Linked DNA regions of Arabidopsis thaliana. The protein of the gene in region 3 interacts with the protein of the main gene of each other region in a pairwise test. Each region holds a gene or a part of one and is shown on either strand. Other genes may lie near its edges. The genes, in order: AT4G29930, AT5G10570 and bHLH071.

What was found.
Region 1: the proteins of bHLH071 (region 3) and AT4G29930 interact in a two-hybrid assay, tested with the Arabidopsis thaliana proteins (one large-scale study listed by BioGRID).
Region 2: the proteins of bHLH071 (region 3) and AT5G10570 interact in a two-hybrid assay, tested with the Arabidopsis thaliana proteins (one large-scale study listed by BioGRID).

The regions. Positions count from the first base shown.
Region 1 is NC_003075.7:14,641,029-14,649,752, reverse strand, and holds AT4G29930 (basic helix-loop-helix (bHLH) DNA-binding superfamily protein), read right to left. Parts: upstream 5,760-8,724; 5' UTR 5,646-5,759; coding exon 5,566-5,645; intron 5,444-5,565; coding exon 5,278-5,443; intron 4,894-5,277; coding exon 4,636-4,893; coding exon of another isoform or gene 4,585-4,635; exon of another isoform or gene 4,536-4,584; coding exon 4,248-4,535; 3' UTR 2,394-4,247; downstream 1-2,393. Other genes in the region: PRHA (pathogenesis related homeodomain protein A), read left to right, coding at 1-102, 205-285, 438-518, 680-760, 918-998, 1,153-1,407.
Region 2 is NC_003076.8:3,338,188-3,345,294, reverse strand, and holds AT5G10570 (basic helix-loop-helix (bHLH) DNA-binding superfamily protein), read right to left. Parts: upstream 4,096-7,107; 5' UTR 3,939-4,095; coding exon 3,402-3,938; intron 3,160-3,401; coding exon 3,004-3,159; intron 2,782-3,003; coding exon 2,614-2,781; intron 2,505-2,613; coding exon 2,418-2,504; 3' UTR 2,216-2,417; downstream 1-2,215. Other genes in the region: AT5G10560 (Glycosyl hydrolase family protein), read left to right, coding at 5,944-6,687, 6,938-7,104.
Region 3 is NC_003076.8:18,941,820-18,949,238, reverse strand, and holds bHLH071 (beta HLH protein 71), read right to left. Parts: upstream 3,697-7,419; 5' UTR 3,601-3,696; coding exon 3,244-3,600; intron 2,925-3,243; coding exon 2,457-2,924; coding exon of another isoform or gene 2,409-2,456; exon of another isoform or gene 1,964-2,408; coding exon 1,805-1,963; 3' UTR 1,602-1,804; downstream 1-1,601. Other genes in the region: AT5G46680 (Pentatricopeptide repeat (PPR-like) superfamily protein), read right to left, coding at 6,715-7,419. UniProt on the Arabidopsis thaliana protein: Transcription factor. May be involved in the differentiation of stomatal guard cells.

The DNA.
Region 1 (8,724 bases), on a different chromosome or scaffold from region 3:
AACAACCAGGAGGAATTTCAACAGGAAAATGTCTCTTTTCCTTCACCCACAGATGAAAGTCAACAGTATCTGGAACAAAACGATTCTTCTTTCGTTCTAGTGGTAAGATAGAAATGATTAAGTACTGCTTCCATGAACTCGCCTTGACCAGTGGTTTTGGACAATTTTAGATTTTTAAAAGTGATTTGTTCTTATTGTGTTCAGCCACATGAAAAGCAAAGCAGCGAAATTAGCTTAAAGACGGCTGTAGAGGAGAATGAGACAGAAAGCAAGATGATGAAAGAGGTAAAATATAAATTAGCTGTTTCGCCAAAATGAGTTTCTAGAACATATCCATTAATAAAAAACCATGATTAAGTACTGCTTCCATGAACTTGGCTGACCAGTTGTTTTAAACAATTTTAGATTTTCAAAGTTACTTTTCTTTTTGTGTTCAGCCACATGAAGAGCTAAGCAGTGAAATGAGCCTAAAGACGGCTGCTGAGGAGAAGGAGACAGAGAGCAAGATGATAGAAGAGGTAAGATACAAATGAGCCGTTTCGCCAAATGAGTTCATTGAACATATCTATTACTAAAAACCATGATTAAGTACTGCTTCCATGAACTTGCCTTGAGCTCTTGACCAGTGGTTTTAAACAGTTTTAAATTTTTTAAATAATTTTTTTCTTATTGTGTTCAGCCACATGAAGAGCTAAGCAGAGAAATGAGCTTAAAGACGGCTGTAGAGGAGAAGGAGACAGAGAGCAAGATGATGGAAGAGGTAAGATATGAATTAGCCGATTTGCCAAAATAAGTTGATAGAACATATATATCTGATATTTAACAACCATGGTTAAGTACTGCTTCCATGAACTTGCCTTGACCAGTGATTCTAAACAATTTCAGATTTTAAAAGTTATTTTTCTTATTATGTTCAGCCACATGATGAGCTAAACAGCGAAATGAGCTTAAGTACAGCGGTAGAGGAGAAGGAGACAGGGAGCAAGATGACGGAAGAGGTAAAATGAAATTAGCTGGTTCGCCAAAATGAGTTTATTGAACATATCTATATTAAAGAAACCATGATCAAGTATCGCTTCCATGAATTTGGTTTGACAAGTGGTTTTAGACAATTGTAGATTTTTAAAGTTTATTTGTTCTTATTGTGTTCAGTCACATGAAGAGCTAAGCAACGAAATGAGCTTAGAAGAGAAGGAGACGGGGAGAAAGATGACGGAAGAGGAAGAATTGGAAGCAGTAATGGAGATGCTTTGTAGAACAGAAAACAAGTTACTGGACGTGACGCAGAGGCTTGATAGATTTAAAACACCAAAAGGCCGAAAAAAGTTAGGCAATTCTTCTTCTCCTTTACTTGAAGAAGACTCAGTAGTGTATGTTCCAATAGCAGAGATCAAGGAGAAAAGGTAACAATATATATATATATATCAAGAAAAGAAAAAAGTCCTTTGCAGAAGTTTTGGTATTGTTAGATTCTTTTGGAACGTAGTCTAAGAGAGTACCTAATGTAGTTTTGTGTATTATTCAGTTTGTATGTGTCATTTAAACTTCAGATAAAATCCCCCAGAAAAAAATAAAACTGGGATTTTTTTTTTAATGGAACTTTTTAGCTCTCTTTTTTGAATTATGTACATTTCGTTTTTTATTCTCTTTTTTTTTTTAATTCCCTTTTTCCAAATAACTTTGGCTTTTAATTTTAGTTTAAAAAATAATAAAGCTGAAAGATTTAGGTTCTTACAGATAGAGTAAGATTGGCAACTATATTTTTAGTTTCAACCAAGTAATAATCATAGAAAGATGATGGTTATAGAGAAAGCTTTTAGACCGAGTGTATATAGCGGTAAGAATAAATTGTTTACAAATCTGCAATTATCTGAACATAACTCCTTAACAAAGCCTACTGTCACTTTTATGAGTTTACTAAACATTTGTTGCCTAACTTTACAGATCAAATTGAAACAAATGGCAAGTCTCTCTATTTTGCAACTTACAATATGCATTTGATTCATGTTCATCAATTCAAAGACAAAGTATCCACAAAATCTTTTATAAAGTCATATTTGCTTTTTTAGTTTAACCATATTTCTTTATGTTTTTTTCTTCTTATACTCGGTTATGATTGCAATTAATTCAAATGATTTTTTTAGAAGTATAATTTTTAAGATTATAAGAAGGAACATGCATATTTTTGTTTTATTTTATTAGAAAACATCGGATGTTTTGTAGCTCAAACAAATAAACCCTCACAATAGTAGCTCTTCACATATATTGCATAAAACGGATTTAAGTAAAAAACCAGAAGTAAATTAGAAGTTGATAAGACAATTTGGATCATTATAAGCTGCGATGGCCATCTGTATCTTGGCCTCTACTGCACTGCTTTCTTCTTCATCCGCCTGCAAATTCAACGATTTACTATAATTAATACATCTATCACAATATAAACTAAAACAGTCCTATATTATTTCAATCATACGATATCTTTACAGAATTTTGAAGTAAATTAGGATTCTAGGAAGTCCAACGTCAGTATAGATTATTAAAATTAGGGGTGTTTAGGTTTTACACGAATCAGACAAAAAAAACTTCTTTTTTTTTGGCAGCACGTAAAAAGAAAATTAGAACTGATAAATTTGTGTATATACACCTGCACGCATTACTACTATAATTATTTCCCGTGGAAAATGAGATTGGTGGATAAATCATTGTTTAATGTTTTTGTATAATCTTTAAAAGGACGGATAAGGACAGGTTTGAAATGAAATGATCGACTTTTTATTTGATAAATGATTGGAGTATGATTTCACCAACTCTCAATGACTCCACTGGTCTATACCTCACTGTAATTTTAGCGTCTGATTATATTATCTTTTATCAAGAAAATGTTATAAAGGTGCATAATTCTTTTTTGTCAAAGAAAACCAACATAATATTATATTCATTTGTGAGGCAAGAAATACTCGTATTTGTTGTCATCAAAAATTTCCAACCTACAGCTTATAATATAATTACCTTTTTCAAAAAAAATAGAACGTTAGTTCACGAAACTAGCATTTTTGTAATTAGATTGTTTACACCAAAGTCCTAGTATATGATGATGATAAACAAATCAAATAGATAGAGATAATGAAATGAATTTGTATTTTTTAGAGTAAAAACACAAAATAATAACTCTTAACAAATCTGCTTATATTAAAAAGGACCAAACCTTAATTTCTACCATGAACTGCTATGGATATCATTTGGAGTAACTAATTTTTACCAAAATGATTAGCATAATGAAGACCTTATGAACCATATACAACTAGTTAACACAAATAACTTGCTAATTGGCTACAGTTGATTTGTAGCCTATTGTTAATTTGAGTTAAGAATTGATATAAGGTGTAGTGCTAGAAAAGTCACGTGCTAAAAGTGTGAAAGAGACAAACGTTGAACCGCGTGAGGTTATAAATTAGCCACGTTTTTCTAGTGCTACTATGCTTGGACGGCACTTTCTGGGACACGAGGCACTTGAGATTTCACACACTAATTTTTTGATTAAGTTAATCCTAATTTTTTATGGAATATGACATTTAACTTTTGAGAGAATCTAACCCTATCAGAAAAAGTCAAGGCGAAATTCGAAAAAAATGTGATGGGCTCGAGGCAACCTCAATAATTGGAGCTTTAATTGATTGATTAAGATATTACTGACTATATATACTTAAGGTGTAATGTGAATTAAGGTCCACTTAATGGAGACAGGTGGGAGAAAAGTAGTAATTAAATGGGTCCGTCTAAAGGTTATCCTTTTGAATTTGATAGTGATTTTCCAAACAATTCGTAAGTTTGAATTACATTTTTGTACTATTACGTAAAGATAACATATTTTCTTTACCAAAACAAAAGAACAATCCACTTTACTAAAGCACTTAGTCATATGCTTTTTATTCATATTATTAATTCTTGTCCACTAAAGGATTTGTCTACGTGCCGTCAGACGACCATTTTTCTCCCAAAATAACCAAAAAGAAAAGAAAATAGTAAGATTTGAATTTGGTATATAAAAGTCTGAATAGTTGCGACAAATTAAAAATGGACAAATATATTTGGTTGGTGTGTTTTATAGTCCGACAAGTGCATAAAACTAATTTTATAGCTGATTACAATTGATCTAACATTCTTTATTAGCAAGAATCTTCTAAACTATATTATCATCTCTTTCCATTAACATTTTATAATTTCGCTCCATGAGTGCAAAATGAGCGTCAAACCAAAACAAGACACGTACAGTATTCTCTAGATGCATTTAGAATTTTGTAGTTTGTACTAGTAATCACATTGCCAAATAAAGATATGAGAGAGGGAGAGAGGGAGAGAGTGACCTGGAGGAAGAGGGTGGTGGAGAGACGAGAGGTGAAGGAAGAGAAGTTAGTAGTGAGAATGTTGAGATTCAAAGACTCCAACACTTTACAAAGCTGCACCATTGTCTCTCTTTTCTTGCTACATGTTATGCATACCACTACCGTCTTCTCTCCCATCCATGTCACTTTCATCTGTTTTTTCATGTTTATATAAAAACAATTTGGAATAATTAACTTTACCTCAAAAGAAAGGTAATTTAGAATGTACTGCCAAATAATGCATAGTACGTACTTCGAGAACTTCAATGGGGTAGTGTTGTACTCTAGTACTGTAATCCATCTGCTTAAACTTTTTTGATCTCATGTCATTATTGTCTGAGAAATCTTGCAGATGAGTTTCCGCAAAATTGCAATCGTAATCTCTTACCGGATTTTCTAGCAATGTTGACCGTGATTCTAGCTCTCTGATCTCTGCTTCTAGAGTCTTCTCTTGATCAATAAGTTCTTGCATATAGTCGATAGAATCTTTGATGACAGATGCCTTGTCCAACTAAAAATAGATAAATATTAATACTTCAATAAAATCCAGTCTTAATCAACAAATCATCACACGTATACAATTATATGCTATCAGGGTAATTAGGGGACCAAAATACATTTTAGTATGGCTTGATATGGATTTAGAGTATCAAAAATTTGGTTTGCTTATTTGTTTAATGTTGGTTGGATTTGGTTTAACCAGATTGTATTTGTATAGTTTTATTTCTTTACAAAAGAAAGAAGAGAAAGTTTATTCGCTTATTTAATTTCTGTTGACCAAAACAAAAATTGCTGGTGACGAAACTTTATTACTAAATTATTTGGATAACAAATTAAATTTAAAAGAGACAGTTGATTAAACAAATAAGAGAAGTAATGGAATAATTAATCATACCTTGCTTATATTGGGAACAACTGACCGGAGAGCAAAAAGTCTCTGATTAAGCTTTTGCCGTCTGTTTCTCTCGGAGACAACGTTCTTCGAAGAAGCCGGCGACGTTGCCGCTCCGTCTGGCGAACTCGACTCGCCGGAACCCGAAAACGCTTCCTCCATCGGCCAACTTAAATTTTATAATTTATAACAATTTTCATTAATTACCAACTAAAGCAAGATTAATCTTTATCGGAAAAAAAAACTAAAGAAACAAAAAAAAAAAAAATGGACCAAGATTCTAGTAAGCACCTGTCAAATTCGAGTTCTTGATTCTGGAAGAACATTGTGGTTTCCCAGTAATTCTTGTACTCATGGTCGAGATCTTCCATTTTTCGGACACACAAAGATGATGCTTTCTTGAAATGGAAGGTTTTGTTATTTCTGTTTGTCCTTTCTTTCTTTCTTTGTGTCTTTCTATTGAGTGTACTATCAAAACAAGAGTGGGCCGAGGATTTTATACATAAAGAGTCTGACAGAGAGTTTTTAAGCACGTGGGATCTTAATCTCCTGAAATAATTATATACGATCTTGACCGTTCAATTCAGAGATCAAAATCTGTTTCCTTTTGTCCAATTGAAAAACAAAGAAAAGAGTGTATCGTATCTATCTCTTTCACTCACAATATGCATTATTCATATACTCAAATGGGTATAGACCGTATAGTACTTGAATTTAGGGCGTGTTCAATTCCAATTTCATTTTATTTTTGTGAGGTACTAGAAGAGTATCTGAGTATAAATGCAAAATTCTGTTCTTGTAGATATTAATCATTTGTTTTTCTTCTAATTTCGATCCTTAAAGTTAGAAGATGATGTCTAAGTAAGGAAAGAAGATACGTACTAGGTTTTTTTTAAACAAAAATAAAAGATACGTAGTTTCAGAATTCAAAGATTTAAACATAGGTAGACATCGTGGCTATGTGTATGCGTACGTAATGATTATGGCCAATAATGGTGATGATTAGTTGATTGTCAACTTTTTTTGCTAAATTTTATTGAAAATATAACCCACTTGGGTCCAGGATATTCTTTCATGTCCCTTGATTTGAATGCAGTAAATCTATGTTTTCTTCTATTATTTGTGGATATATATTTTCTTCTGATTTTTGAGTGTCTATATATTTATAAAATTCCATCTTCTTTAGATACTGTTATGAAATAAGTTGAGATATATGATTTTAACAAAGTAAGCTATAACCACGGACTTATCTAGCAATATTAAACACAAAATGTGACTGAAAAGCGAAATAATGTGGGGGTGATCCAAAATCTAAAGTATATAAAAATCAAATATCATAGACAGAAAATATTCATAGAATTAGATAATATAGCATATGCAATTTTATTCTACTGAATTGTAACTAAAGAAATATTGATTATTTAATGGTGTCAACTGAATTAAAAGTTGTGAAACGATTCGTAAAACTCTATTTATGATGGTGGAAATATTTTTTTCAATGGTTATGTATCATACATTTGAGTTCTCAGTTCTTTCAAGAATTTGTAAAACGTGGAAAGACATCAAGAAAACTGAAGACGGTCACTAAATCATACAACATACACATACTAAACAATACAACTAGTTCCACATTAATCCATTATACTCAAACTAAATCTAGTATCTATCTTATGAACTAAAAAAAAATCTAGTGTCTATCAATATGGAAAGGTTTTTACTTATATCGGCTTTGCTCCATACCCCGTGATTTTATTCAGAACTTTTAATCTGGATTAGAAATCCGAAAATACTGAGTTTGAGAAACAAATCGAAAAAAGTAAAAACTGTTTTCTCAAATCATTCGTCTCTCACTTACTAAACTCTTGAGAAAATGTGTAGGAAAAAGTTGTATTTTAATTGTATGAAATGAACAGTGTTTCGTTCCTTATGATATTGTTTTCACATTACTAAAGTCGTGGCTTGGATGGCCCAACATGATCTTGGTGATCAAAGATGATTATAATAAAATTATTTGCTAAATAAAATTATTTAACGTACTTATGTATGCTACCACGTGTATGGAGGATAGTGTATGATATGACTTGATATGGTTTTGGTTAAGAATTCATTAAAAGTCTTAATATTTAATTTATTTTGTATGCATAATCGTATTTCCTTTTGTTTATTAGGCTAATTAAAAGCTGTTCTATCTATAATCTTTGGAAGATTCATAAATTTTGATGACTCACCCACCTTGCAATTGCAAATGTATGGAATTGATTATATTGGGTCCAAATGACAACTAAACATTCCCAATATTGTCGGAGTCTAATTCTTTCGTTTCTTATTAAATATGAGGAAGTGTTTCTAGAAGAGTAAGAAGAAAATCGCAGTTCAATTTTGAAATCTACTTTTGTAGTAGAAAGCTGTATAAACAACATCCGTTCACGTTAGCTAGAATACGAAAAAATGTAACGAGTATTGAAACTCCGGTTCAATCTTACGTTACGATATCGGTTAACCAACTTCGACGACTTAAACCCATTCATCAAACAAAATGAACAAAATATGCCGATATGAGAGAAAGTAATTCGACTAAAATTCATTATTTATTTCAAAACATGCAAGAAACTTATTGGGCTGAAAAAACACATGTTGGGCTGAAGGCACGGATTGAACAGAGATATATTTTGAGTTCGGCCCAGACAAAGATGCTTAATGGTTTAGCCCGTTTGAATGTTCCAAAATTTAGTCTTGACTCTTCTTAAGTGTGTGAAGAAAAATGGTGTAAATTGTAATTTCAGTCATTTATGTAAAGTTTTGAAAATTTTCCATGTGGCCTTTTAAGTTTACAAATACAAAATAAATTTATTTAAAACTGGAAGCACGTTTAGATGAATATATAAATCAACAATAAACGAAAACGCAACATATACAAAAAAAAATAAAATAAAAAACAGCAAAGTAATTTACAACGTCCAAACAAAAATTACCAAAGAAAGTTTCCATAATTAATTACATAGAAGCTTTTTATTTTTGTTTCTTGTTCTATCTATCATAATATAACATGTAAATAATGAAGAAACTCCATCATAATATAGCGTCGTATCCTAACAAGAATTGAATAGCTACTGAAGAAATTCCATCATAACATAATATGTAAGTATTTTCTATGGCCAATCAAGTCTAGTCATAGGCTATAATTTTGGAGTAAAGTAACTATGATATTTTCTTTTTTTTTTGTCAAAGAACTATGATATTTATTTTCTTTCTAGTCGACAGTTAGGAATATAAAGAATCACTTGCGACGTATTGAGTTATTTATTTGTCTTGTGATGGAAGTAAAGAAACATTCGTTCAACAGTACCCAACAAAAGACAAATATAAAAGTGAATGACAATAAAATTTGTTAAAAAGAAAGAGCTTAATTATTCCTCTTTGACCGATCCTCTCCAATGATTTGTTCCGTTT
Region 2 (7,107 bases), about 16 Mb from region 3:
GTATCTGCACTATAAGAAAAAACAACAATTAAAAACAGTATTCACGGCCTAAACCAATCGTTTAAAGATTTGTCTTCTTTGGGGACAAAGAAAAAGAGAGAGAGAGGGTGGTGGCTTCGTGCGACCCAATAACTAACTAACAACAACACTACGGCAAAGAAATGAAGCACTCACATGTCTTAATCTTTTACACGATTGCTTTAATTATGATTTATTAACTTATTAAACAGCTCATCTTATATGAGTATAATAACAAATAAGGAAGCTCTCGTCAGCAAATAGAAATTGTGAGGTCCACATTCGACCATATATTTTAGTGTATAAACTTCGAAACCTAACCTACTCGCACAAACCTCTAGTGCTCTAACCTACCCATATTTTTCCTTTTTAGTTAATTGTGCATACTTTTTGGGTTCACCGTTCATTTTAATAGAAAAATAATTACATTTTTGTCTTAAGATTGATTTGTTTCTATATGATTATTCACCTGCTTGCTTACAGATTACTATTAAAAATTCTATTTTACATTTGTATATGTAAGATGTGATTATTTTTATTTTGTCGGCGTAAAGAAGTGATTTAAGATTTGTGTGTTAAAAATGAAGACGAATGAAAGAGTCCTGTTTTATCTGCTATTTTGATCTGGTTTCTCGTTTATAATATTTTTAAATCAGAATAAATAGTTACAAAAACAAAAACAAATTGTGTCTTTATTATAAAGTTATGTTTTAAACTTAAAATAAAAATTTCTTTTGATAAGTGGACAAAATTTTAAAACTTGTTTTTTTTCTACCAAATGAATTAAGGTTTTCAGTGGCGGTGTCTTTATAAAAAAAAACTTTATCTTATTTTCTTTTTAGTCTACAGTCTTTACCTTTTTTTATTATATGAGTTTTGTATTATTTTAAGTTTGAATGGTGACAATAAAACTTTATTCAAAATTTACGCATAACCATATCAAACTATCAAACTATGTTTTATAAACCATTAAACATATAGAATATAGGATAAGTTAGGTATAAAAACAAATTTTGGATCAAAATAAATCCTCTGATAATCTTATTATGTTCAAGAATTACAACGACTGCGGTTAGACCTATAAAGTCCATTAATCTTTTTTCATGTCGAGTGACCCATCACTAGAAAGGCTTGAAATGGGCCTATGTGTAATCAACCCTTATGTAATTTCTTTTTTTTATAGGAATCAAGGGAAAATAAAATTTCTTTTTTTATAACATAACACGACGTTCTTACAGAAATTTGTCCCTTTTGAAAGATCTTATTTTCATAACACAATCGCCTGGTATGTTATGTAGGATTGTGCAGATACATTAGATATTTTCCTCTAATTAGTAAAATAGACATGTCATATCCATTAATATAATTTTTCATGTCCAGTAGACCAATGACAATAACTATAGACGGTAGAAATGGGCCTAGGTGCAATCGAAACCCTTCTTCTTTAGGAATCCGAAATAAACCGGACGAAACACAATCAGACAAGATCTGGTTTCTGTAAACACATCAGAATTGGGACGGATAAAGTGGAATAGCCATATAGATTGAAAGAATGTGCTTAAGACTACTAGACCAGCTTCAAAGACGATAAAATCTCAGCAAGTCTGAAGAGCAGAAGCATAATTTGATCTAGGAGCAGTTAAACACCTCTCATGTCATTGTTTTATTAACAAGTAGGTTGCCTGAATCACCGCTCCCATTACGAATCATATCATAATCATTCATAAAATCAAATAAAAACAAGCAGAGATTAAAACATGTGAGAACTATCTCAGCGTCCAATATCGAGGGAATCGATTTCGGACAGAACTGAGATAGATCTCCGATTGTGGTCTTTTTTATTTAGGGCGCTGCATTCATCTCTATGGCATCGTTATTTTGCTAAAGAGTCAAACTCCAGTCCCGATTGACATTAAAAAAACCACCAAAACACATAAACCATAAAAACAAATCGCAAGAAAAAAAATTAGCACAGAGATCTATCGAACTATATAGATTGATAATAAGCTTTGAGTGGCCGATTCTCGGATAACTTGATTAGGGTTCAAAGTTAGACGCAGCTATTTAAAGAGGAAACGGATGGAGCTCGTTAGGTCAAAAAGCTGGCAGAATTTTAGTGGACTTTATTTGGGCTTTAGTATAACAGGGCTTATTGGGCCCAAATGAAAACTCTTTTTAACATTTCTGCTCTCTCTATTTTGCATGTTTTATTAATGAGTCGGATTAGAAACCGAGGGGTCAGTCGAGGAGACTAATTGGTAAACATCAATGAGTTCTTTTTACACCTTTGATTTTCCCATTTATCTATCTCCTTATGAAATATCATACTCATCACAAGAGAATAAGAAGAACCGGAAAATATTATCATCATTAAAAAACATTGCAATTTTGAAGCTCCCCTACAGACATCTTCCTCCATAACCTGCGTTTCTGATTAGTGCTTGTTTAGTAGCTTCCGAAGTAACCATGTATCTCTGCTCACCAACCTACATATATACGAAAAAAACAGAATATAACAGAAAATAATTATAGAATATACATTTAATTTGTCGATGCACCAAGTAAGGCTAAATCAAAGTGTAATAATATTTGTACCTCAAAACAAGAAGCCTGCAATGAGAAGTCACTGAAGCAGCTAATGACACATTGTTCAATCTCTAATCCTAGAGTCTCCAATGTACTAACCGTTGATACAACCAAACCCGGTTTCGTAGGACAACATATATCAATATGCGTATTAACTTCCCTTTGATCTACTTCAAACTGCAAAAGATTCGTTTTCGTTATAGCCAGAAAAATTGTCTGCACCTTCAAGTGATTATAATTTTTTGAGTGATATCTAATGGGAATCAAATTGATTCAAGTATATGATGAGGGTGTTTGTAACAAATGATTTGTAATGGGATGAATTTGTAAAAACACAAGACTTATGAGTACTGAAGCACAAATACCATAATAACATTATGTTTTGTTTTTAGCTTTTACCTTTAGGGAGTTTCTGACCATAGATTCGTTTGTAATGAGGGTGCTTAGATGAGAGTTGCTTCCAAGTTCTTGTTCGTCTTCTTGCAACTTGTTAATCTTGTCCAAAAGCTCCTTCATGTAATCTATTGCATCTCCTAGTATCGATGTCCTATCCATCTGATTTTATTATATAATAATCATCAAAAATTATATACATTTTCTCATACAACAAACTCTATGCAGATTCACAAAAAGCAATAACCTTTTATCAGTGAACAGTGTACCAAAAAAAAGATTTCAACAAGAAGAAAACATACATGTAACGTTAAGAACTTAACAAAAAAGGAAGAATATTTCTTCTTGACTTAAAAATAAAAACCATATAACATGTGACAAGGATGAGGTTTATGGAATTTGACCTTGGTGATTTTAGGGACAATGGATCGGAGCAGGGAGAGTCGGTCATTTAACCGTTTCCTCCGCCGTCTCTCCGCCATAAGATTCTTCGAAGGCTGACCTTCAAGCTTCTTGTTACTCCTTTTCTTGTTAGTCTCTCCGATGCTTATGAAGCTCTTGCTTTCCTCCATCAATGGTGAGTAATTGTTGGTGTTCTCTTGCGAAGCCGGAAGGATCAATGGAGGAGGAGAATAAGAGGAGTGTATGATATCCTCGAGAAAAGGATAGTCGAAAGCGGAGGAGAGCGGCGGAGAATCATAAAGAGGTGACGACGGTTGTGGTGGTTGATGAAGCAATGGAGGTGGCTGAGAAATTAGATTCATCAAAGAAGAAGAAGAAGGATGATCAATGTTGTCGTCTTCTTGGAGAAGATTGTTGAAACAGAGGTAATCGAAGTTCCAATCATTTGGGACGAATTGGTCAATCGCCATGAATCCTCCATTAACGCCGTTGAGATTGTTGCTTTCTTGTTTTCTCAATTGCGTCAATTCCGTTTCCATCTCTCTTTCTCTCTATTTTCTGAAACTCTGTTATTTGTGAAAGTGGAAGTGAACAGAGTTTGTGAGCTTGGGGTCAAAGAAGATACAAATGCATGTAAATGCATTACATAAGTGTGAATTGTAATGAAGAATTCACTTTTTAACTGATTAGAATTACTTTATTCCATTTGACATATGTATATTTATGACTTGTTTGTTACATAAAAAGTGGATTTTAATAGTTAAAAATATATATACAAATAAGTAGTTTTGTCTAGTTGTTTAAGGAGAGATCCACTAGAAAACATTACAATTTAGTGTGTTTGTTTTTGATCCATGGTCCAGCACCAACCTATGAGGCATAAGCTGAGATTGATGAAATTTTTTTTTTACTTAATATCGTTTTCTTTTGTGTTGTTGTCTGAATCGTATTATTATTGATGGTTCGTTTTCAGTGACGATATTAAGTAATTTATACGTTCTCTTTGATCGGAAAAATGATCTGACCCACAAAGTATGTCCCGGCCAAAATGAATGAACATCATCATCTAGCTCTCTTCCTTAGTCAACTTATGTATATGATACGAATGGTATTTAATATTAGAAATATCAAATATGAATAATCAGATGCTTACAAAAGTAAGAGATAATGGTCTAGATTTCGAGATTGAGAAGCTGCCATCATATTTGCTTTTTTATTATTATTATTGGATAGGCTTTTGGCACTGAACGTTAATAACATGGAAAAATCTTGAATAGATATATATTATTGTGAGTTTTTGCCATTTCAAAAGTACTCGTATCCGACGATATCGATCAATTACGGGAAAAAATAAACACCCGTGTCTCTTCTAATAGACATAATTCCGCAAATTATTACATTGTGGTGTATCAGTGTATGATTGTATTAATATGGAAAAAGAAAAGACTGACAGGTCAAAGAGATCGAAGAAGGCTTAAGTCAAAGAAATTTGTTTCTTATATCAGAAGCGAGTTGCGTGAGAGTTTGTGGACACACACTGTCTCCTACTCTATCTTCACTCCATTATTTACTACTCAATCGGATATCATTATTGTCTGCATTATATAAGTTGCTTTTCTTTGACAATTCATTGTTTTCATTTCTCAACATTTAAATTGAAAATTAACAAAATTTCATATATTTAAATTTCTAAACTAATCATTCTTGGATACCCATTGACTTTTTTTAAAAAGTATGTGTTTATCCTAATAATTGTTGGTTTAACTAAAACCAGGGATCAACAGTTGGGTTGACAAAGGTTTAGTAAATAAAATAAAGTAACAACCATAAGAAAAAAATGACACAATTTTCAAGGTGAATGCATGCAAGCAGAAGCAGGGATAAGAAAAGATGAAACACGTGAATAAGCTTCAGCCATTATGTGCTATGTGACCATGACTAAGCCACTATGGATGCATATTTGAAAATTTTGGGGTTGTTAGTTAAGTTTCAATATTGGGTTTTGAGTTTTCGGTTCATTTATTTTAGAGAGTTTTACACCAAAGTAAATAATTCTGACTTTTAATATAACTACAATACATAAAATTTGGTGGTTTTAAAATTTTTGTTATTTACAATTAATATTTTTAAATCCTTGTGAATAAAAAATTTATATACAATTTTAAAATACTATCATTTTTAATTTTTTTAAAATAAAATTTAATGTTTTCTTTTGTCAACTAGCTAGAGACACTTGAAACCCACCCATTTGTAAAAGTAAAATTATTCAAGCATTAGTCTACAAAAATTGTAGACCTTGATTAGATAAAGCCCCAATTCATAAATGTTCACTGATCTTAATTAATTACTATAAATCGATTAGATAAAGGCCCATAATGATTTGGCCCCTCTACCGTCCGTCAAATGACAAGTAACAAGAAACAGCAGTGAACCAACCGGTCCAACTGTTAATTTAGATTTTACCGGTCTATTTAGTTCGGTTTAAAACTATACCTTTTAGTTTCCTTTTTCACTCTTCTCTACAGATTTATTTTCCTCCAAAATATGAATCTTCAGTTGACTCTAATCTCCTTACTCTTCTTCACTTCCGCCATAGCTGAAACCTTCAAAAACCTCGATTCTCATCCACAGTTCCCTTGTAAACCTCCTCATTTTAGCTCTTATCCCTTCTGCAATGTCTCTTTATCCATAAAACAACGAGCAATTTCTCTCGTCTCCCTCCTCATGCTCCCAGAGAAGATAGGTCAGCTCTCAAACACAGCTGCTTCAGTACCCCGTCTCGGTATTCCTCCGTACGAGTGGTGGTCGGAGTCTTTACACGGACTCGCCGATAACGGTCCCGGAGTTTCCTTCAACGGTTCGATCTCCGCCGCTACTAGTTTTCCTCAGGTAATCGTATCTGCTGCATCTTTCAATAGAACGCTATGGTACGAGATTGGATCTGCTGTTGCGGTGGAAGGTCGGGCTATGTACAACGGTGGTCAAGCTGGGTTGACGTTTTGGGCTCCGAATATAAATGTGTTTAGGGATCCGAGATGGGGAAGAGGACAGGAGACTCCTGGTGAGGATCCGAAGGTAGTTTCCGAGTATGGAGTTGAGTTCGTTAGAGGGTTTCAAGAGAAGAAGAAAAGGAAGGTTTTGAAAAGAAGATTTAGTGATGATGTTGATGATGATCGTCATGATGATGATGCTGATGGGAAGCTCATGTTATCTGCTTGTTGTAAGCATTTCACTGCCTATGATTTGGAAAAATGGGGGAATTTCACTAGATACGACTTCAATGCTGTGGTAAGACTAAGAACTCTTTTCTTCACTATGTGTAGCTTGTGTATCAACTTCAATTGGATTTTAATTGAGAACTCTCAGGTTTAGTGGATCAGGTTTGACCTAAAATAGAATTAAATCTATAGACTTTATTGAATGCACCTTTCTTTGGTGTTCATGAAACAGAATTTAACTAGTTATATTGCTTCTGGCTTTTGCATTATCTCCATGGTTCTGTGTCGAACACTGAGTCTAGCTTACTCTGTATTAGTAGGTCACAGAACAGGACATGGAAGACACATATCAGCCCCCATTTGAGACTTGTATAAGAGATGGTAAAGCTAGCTGCTTGATGTGTTCATATAATGCAGTTAATGGGGTCCCTGCTTGTGCGCAAGGAGACTTATTACAAAAAGCTCGAGTTGAGTGGGGATTTGAAGGGTA
Region 3 (7,419 bases):
ATCCCGTTACTTGCCTCGTTACTTGCATCATTTTGATGCTTGTCCTTTTACTTGCTCTGTTACTCGTTATTTGTACATGTGACTTGTGGGATAACTAATAATTAGGTCTGGATTTTTTTTTTTTCTATTACTTACCTTGTTAATTGTTGAACATTGTATATTTGTTACTAACATACTAATGCTTAAATTATTATAACAAATTTATAATTTTGGTTTGGTCTATAAAAGCTAAAATTTTAAAATTTATTATAACAAAACTCATTGACCTTAAATATTATGTATGAAATAGGGTTTTTTATTCCAAATATTTTAGGTTCAAGTAAAAGTATTTAATTTTGACAAGTAACAAGGTGGGTCAAGTAACTTGCAAGTAATTAAAATTTAGACAAATACTTGGTAGACCAAGTACTCGTTTTAACAAGGCAAATAACAAGCCAAAAATCCAATTACTTTGACAAGGCAAGTCAAGTCACAAGTACCTCCAAATCGGCAAGTACTTGCCTTGTGCCCAGCCCTAAACAATCTTAGTTAAACGGGAGAGATTACGCGGGTCTATGTATATCTTTTCGTGTTCTCTCAACAAATGCAAGTATTTTTCACATAAAGGTACATATTAATAGAACAGAAAACAAAAATCAAATACATATCCTAATTTCTTTTTATATACAGACATTAATTGTATATATGCTAACAATCTAAAAACAAAATAAATTTGTTTCTATTCCCTTTATAATAAACAACAATACCCTTCTTAGAACGAACCAGTTATGTGGAAAATGTGAACATGTTGACCAAATTCGCATGGAGTCCAAAGGAGATAATGAAGAGAATCTTTATTTCGTGAAGAAAAGTCAAGATTTCCACTTCTTTATGGGTACAAAGATCGTCGGTTACGAGTAAAGTCGAATATGATAAGCATTGAACGAAAAAAAAGCAGCGGGTACCAAAAAAATTGTGTATTGTACCAAAATGATGAGCATTTATCATCCTATCGAGTATGAGTGCAAATTAAGTCGAAAGATAGCAAACAATTTTGGAGAAATATAAACCTTGTCCGAATACTAAAGTGAAGTACTCTCGCCTCTGTTGCCAGCCTTGGTGGCCTAAAGCTAGACGGATATATCAAATAAAGCCCATATCTAAAACTATTAATATGGGCCACTGGAGAAAGGTCCATAAAATAGTGTCGTGGATGTTGATGGTAATATAACAACATAAGCAACCGAACACAACAATCTCACTCGCAATGATGGCGGATGTCTTAAAATCTTCTGTAACAGAATATCCAAATTAATTTATCACAAAAAGATTTTAATACGATTACACATTAACACGTAATTGATTTCTTTAGATTTTTCCATTTGCATGTTACAACTTAGCCTCTTAAATTGACAACTATCTCCATAAAATATCATCTGTTTAGCCCTTGAAATTTTATAAACACACTTAAAAAGATTTTTAGTATATACTCTCTACTAACTAATATCCAAGATCGAGAGCCTAGCTAAATTTTTTGATGATTTGTATATATAAGAATCCAGTTATATATATAAAACAATTCAAACACTCACAAGTGTACTAATTTATAACTTAATTACTATCAGAAAATGCATAAAATTAAGAGTAAAACAACTAATATGTTATGTGCCATTATAAATTCACATTTAGCCTTTACAAAGTCAGAAAAAGAACCTAGGATTTTAAAAGAAAGCTTATGTGTTTCTTCATTCTGAAAAAAAAAAACTAAAGATGTGCTATGTGATAAAATTAAAAGAAGGAATAACAACAACAAAAAAGAGATTTCTCAGAGAGAATGAGTGACATTTGAGTGATTCAAAGAGAAGTCAAATGGTAATTCTGACATTGATGAGCAACAAAAAGGCTCCTCTTCAATGATACTTAGCATGTGGTGAACTGCTCCTGCAATGTCATCTACTGAACTTAGCTGGCAACTCTCTTCCACCTTTCAACATCCAATAAGAAAATGATTTTACAAAAATAGCATAATGTGAATTTGAAAAAAGCTTCAAATTGTTACAATTTTTATAACCCACGTGGCAATAATTGAACCTGTTTTCAAGAAATGGGTGAAAAATAAGAAAAATGACTCCACCAAGTATGGTAATAAATGTTGGACCAAATCTAGTTAAGAGCTCATAGACATTCCTTTTATATGCTCTGTCCCTTGGACCGCACATAATCGACCGTCTAGCTTTAAATTCCTAACATATATTCCCAAAATACCCCTCAAGTCGCATTTGAACAAATCCGGTTTAGCTCCGGTTTGTATCACCCTAGTTACTGATAGAGTTTTTTTTTTTTTTTCATCAGTTACTGATAGAGTAAATAGCATAAATGTCCTATCTTGTAATCTGTTTGATCTAAATACCGCACAAATTGCATTGAAACTAATCCGGTTTAGTCCGGTTCAGATGATAGGGTTTTAATTTTATTACCTTAGCGCTGATGGAGTAAATAGCATAATTGTCCAATGTTGTGACACTAAGGTGAAGAATGGAGAGGGACAGCGATTGTAGAGAAGCCACCAGCTTCGAAAGCTGCGGCGGTTTGGTGGTGGCCAACGTGCTCCACCGGAAACCTCTTCTTCTCGACAAGATTCTGATGTTAGCATGAGTTTCGATTAGAGTCACCTCAAGATCTTCCATAGGGGTTTTCACCGAGCTTGTTGAGCCGTTCCTATTCTCTTGGCTCGGATCGTATGAATGAAGAAAGAACTGCGATAGAGATAGTGAAGATGGTTGATGAGGATTCTCTTGTTCACCATTTGAGTCTTGACTTGTTGAAGAAGTAACCGACTGGTTTAATTTAGCATTATGATGTTTTTGAGCTTCAAGAGATAGTAATTTGTGTTCAAGTTCTTTGATGAAATCTATGGCTCCACCAACTATTGAAGCTTGATCACCCTTTCATGGGGAAACAAATAAATCCACCAAAACAACATATAAGTAAACAAATAAAAACCCAAATATATATTTAATAAAAAATCAATTTTTTAGAATTGGCCATAAATATTGAAAATCAAATAGATTTAAACCGTTAGAATGAATCTTTCATAAAAAATAAAACTCAAGATGAAAATTTAATCTTTTTCAGTGAATTGTAAATATTAATTGAAACCCAAATCGAAATAGTAAACCATTTAAAAAAATTATCCATAAAAATTGAAACCCTACTTGAAACTTTACAAACATTAAAAAGAATATATATCCATAAAAGTTAAACCTTGTGAGCAAAAGGTTGAGGCATGAGAGATCGCAAGACAGAGAGATGTTGATTCATTTGTCTTCTTCGATTTCTTTCGACGGCAATGTGAGTCATTCGTTGATTCTCAGCTTCTTCCTCGTTTTTGCAAACCCTAGGCTTCCTCCTCCGCCGCTTCTTCCCTCGATTCGTAGCTGGTGGTTGTCGCTGTGGTGGCGGTTCTTGATTAGATATCTCCGAAATTGTGTTCTTCGATATGATGACATCATTTTCCGGCAATGGCTCGAGATCGACGAGAGACTTGAATGGAGTTGGTGAAAGAGTTTCAGAGAGCAAAAAGTTTAAAAGACCGTTTGATGATAAAGCTTCTAGAGTCATTTCTCTTCACGAAGTTTATTCCTTATTGAATTACTAAGTATCATTGATTTATATAGCAACATTCCAAATCTTTAATTTATTGTTTTCGAAAAAAATATATAAAGGTTATAAATATTTGCGGGCGAAAACGACATTTTCGAAAAAATAAAAGGCAATGATTAAAAGGAAATTTTTTTCTTGACAAACGTTGAAGCTATGGTGCTCTGAGTGTGTGTACATGTGAGACATTATTTGATTGTGATCGGTACTATCATGGAAGGGTACTTCTGAAGAAAACTTAATTATGGACTTTGCTGAATGCCATACTTTTTCTTATTAAATCTTGTAAAAGCTTGACTATTGCTAAAAACATGCATAATCACATATATATTCATTTTCATGTTTCCACATATTATCAGTTGCAATTCGTACACTTGACTAACTTATTATCACAAACCTAAATTATGATAAGAAGAGATACAAAGATCATATGATTTCTCAATATATGTTTTTTTTTTTCTTTTTCTCGAGTCATCTATTTTGATCATATATTTTATTTTATATAAGAATTTGGAAAATGGAAACATAAACCACATGTACTCGATATAGGTTAATAGTTCAGCCAGGTTTAACCGATGAAGTTATCGACTTCGAAGAAAAGACTACGTTTACCATGCTTTGATATATGTTTAAGGAGTTGGCAAAAATAAATGACACAAGCTGTATAAATTGTAATCGTTTACCTAAAATCATAACGTACAATTTGTTTTTTGATTAACTCATAGTGTATAAATAAATATAAAATGCATATGTATATATATTCATAGATGAGAAAAGGATTAGAGAAGGAAGAAGAGCAATGGAGTGCTGGTGGCACGTGAGAGGGGTCAGAGAGAGTCTAAGGTCTTGTTCTTTTCTCGAAATCGTGGACCATTCTTTCTTTTTCACTTAATTACCCTTTTCACTACTCTAAAAACCTTTAATCTTTTTACATTTTTCAAGTTTCAACCTAAAAACAACTCTTTGCAACCCCCAAAAGGAACCATATGTAATTCTTGTTCGTTGCAAAACTCAGACTTCTATACAGAAATGTTAACGCAATTGTTTGCATAGTTGAATCTCATTTTTACGTTTGAGATCATGCGTTGGCATTTTACCGAAAAATGTTTGAAGACTTTTATAATGCAAATGCAAAAACAAAGCGTATATATGTGATATGGTATTCGATAAAAAAAAAAAAAGGAAGAAAACTCAATCATCTAAATGGAGACCAAATTCCAAATATTCGACTCAAGAAGAAAAACAAATGGGACCAAACCGGTTAGGTATTTAGCAATGTTGGACCGTGGGGACCGGACAATAACATACACGTAAAGAGACAAATGAGTGCTGGAAGAAAGCAAAATCTCACAATTGCTATTTATTTTCCTCTTGAATATATATATATCCATAAGATTTTTTTTTATAATATTGGGAAAAGTGAGTAATTATTAATTGCAATTGTATGCTTATAATTAAAAAAGGACTGTCTCCATTTCATCAGTCAGTTTTGTTTGCACATTAGAAGGACCAGAAGAAGCTATGAAGGTAAAAAACACAACCCGTGATTTAAAACAAATTTCTCTATTTATTTAAATTACTTTTTAACTATCTGCACTTTTTTGTTTTTTTCTGATACAAATTGTCAGATCTCTCAAAAACAAAAACAAAAAACGTTAACTTTCACGAATTAGACAACAGCTCCGGACACAAAATCAATCAAATATTTTCGGTAACAGAAACAAAACACTCCATGCAAAATTCTACAAGTGATAAAGTGTACAAAACCAAATTAACGACCTATAATTAGACTACAATTACTAAATTTGTTTATTCGTTTACCACTCAACAATGGCCGTTGCTCTAATACCCAAAAAGGGAAAATGTTAACTTTCACGAATTTGACAATAGCAAGCGAAAATCAAACAATACTACAATAGTATTAGTTTTAAGGTATCTAGTATGTAGACTCCTTTTATTCTCTTAATTAACCTTTTGGTTTATTTTGAGTCTTTTCATATAAGATTTCTTTGTGACGACCTTTAGGGTTAGAGTTGTTTTATCGGTTCGATTTGTTTCCACCACTAGGGTTTTTGGATGATCTCAGTATTTATAATTGCTAAATACAATTCACATTTGTTATGCTAAGTAAAGTATACACACTTAATATTAATCAGACTCTATTTGTTGGTTAATTCAAAACTATATTCTCTTAATCTCTTTGACAAGCAACAAAAACCTTTTGCTTCCAAGTTCCAACGTCTCTATCTCTCTTTTTTTTTTTTTTTGGACAAACTCGTCTCTATTTCTTATCAAGAATTTAACTTAAAAAGATTCCTGTGAATGTTTTTAAACCTAGAAAACGTGTCTACTCTAATCTGATTCGTTGCATCAACAAACAAACACGTGTTCATGTCTCTAAAAAAATTCTGAAAACATCATCTCTAACATGCAATAGATCTTTGTACTTACGTAGAGAGATTAAGAGAAGTCAGTGTAACATTTTACAAAGTCCGAGAGAGAGAGACGACAATAACAACAAAGAGGACGAAGAGCAGTAACTGTTCTTGTCAGATTTGTCCACGTCGAGAGACTAGACTCAGTCTTATCTTTTAGTCCTCTGCAAAAAAAAAAAAAAAACTTTACTGTTTTCTGTTAAAAACAAAGAAACCCAAATAGTAAAAAGTTCTAGAGAGTAGGTTCATAGTTCAAAGATTAGCTTTTTAACTGTGTTCAGAAGCAGCACATGAGTAACATGGCTTCGTTTTTGGGACCAGTGGTTTCAAAAGTGGTGTCTTTGGTCATTTTGTCTGAAGTTACTTTGGTCCCTTAATTCTTAAAAGACTCTGACCAAAACTCTAATCAAATGACTAAAATTAAACAAAGTAACTGATAAATTATCAAAAACTTAGCTATATTGAAGAGCTTGTTGCTTAATAACTCGAGTCATTGATATGGTTGATGAGACTTTGGCTAATATTACAAATATTCAAATGGTTAAGAGAGTTGTCAAATCTCGACTAGAATTTAGTATGAAAACATCCCTTATGCTCATGTACAATTCAATAATTTTTCTATTAGATACTTTTCAATGTCTTAAGGGTACATTAGTGTATTACACTCAATAGCTGCTTTGATTTTGATATGTGTCTTCCTTGCTGCTTGGTAAGATACCGTCTCCCGTATGCCGGACAACACTGCTCGTCTAGCCGATGACGGAATCTTCATTCCTTTATTGTAACACGACAAGAGCAGCTTCGAAGCACAAACAAGCCGTCCGTCTTTGCATAGATTATGCACAACAGAAGTGTAAGTGAACTCATCTCTAACTTCCATTGACGCAAACAACCTCATTGCACGATCTACATGACCTGCTTTGCACAACCCATCAATCAAACAGTTACAAGTGACAACACTCGGCTGCATCCCCATCTCTCCGATACATGCCAAATGCTTCTCGGCTCCTCCCGTATTGCCTATATTTAACAAACCATTGACTATAATCGTATGAGTATAGTCATCAGGTTTCAACCCCTTCATCTCAATCTCCTCCAATAGATCATCTACTGCATCCAAGTTCCCATCTTTAAAATACAAATTCAACAATGTATTGTACGAAACAATGTCTTGACTCCTTGTACCACTTCTCACAAGCTCGTGCATACACTCATACGCCTCCTCTGCTCTTCCGGTTTTAATCAACGCACTAACAACCGCACAATTCGCAAACCCGTCAAACGTATACCCTTCTTTCTTCATCTTCAAAAACAACTGAAGACCTTTCTCAATCCTCTTAGTCTT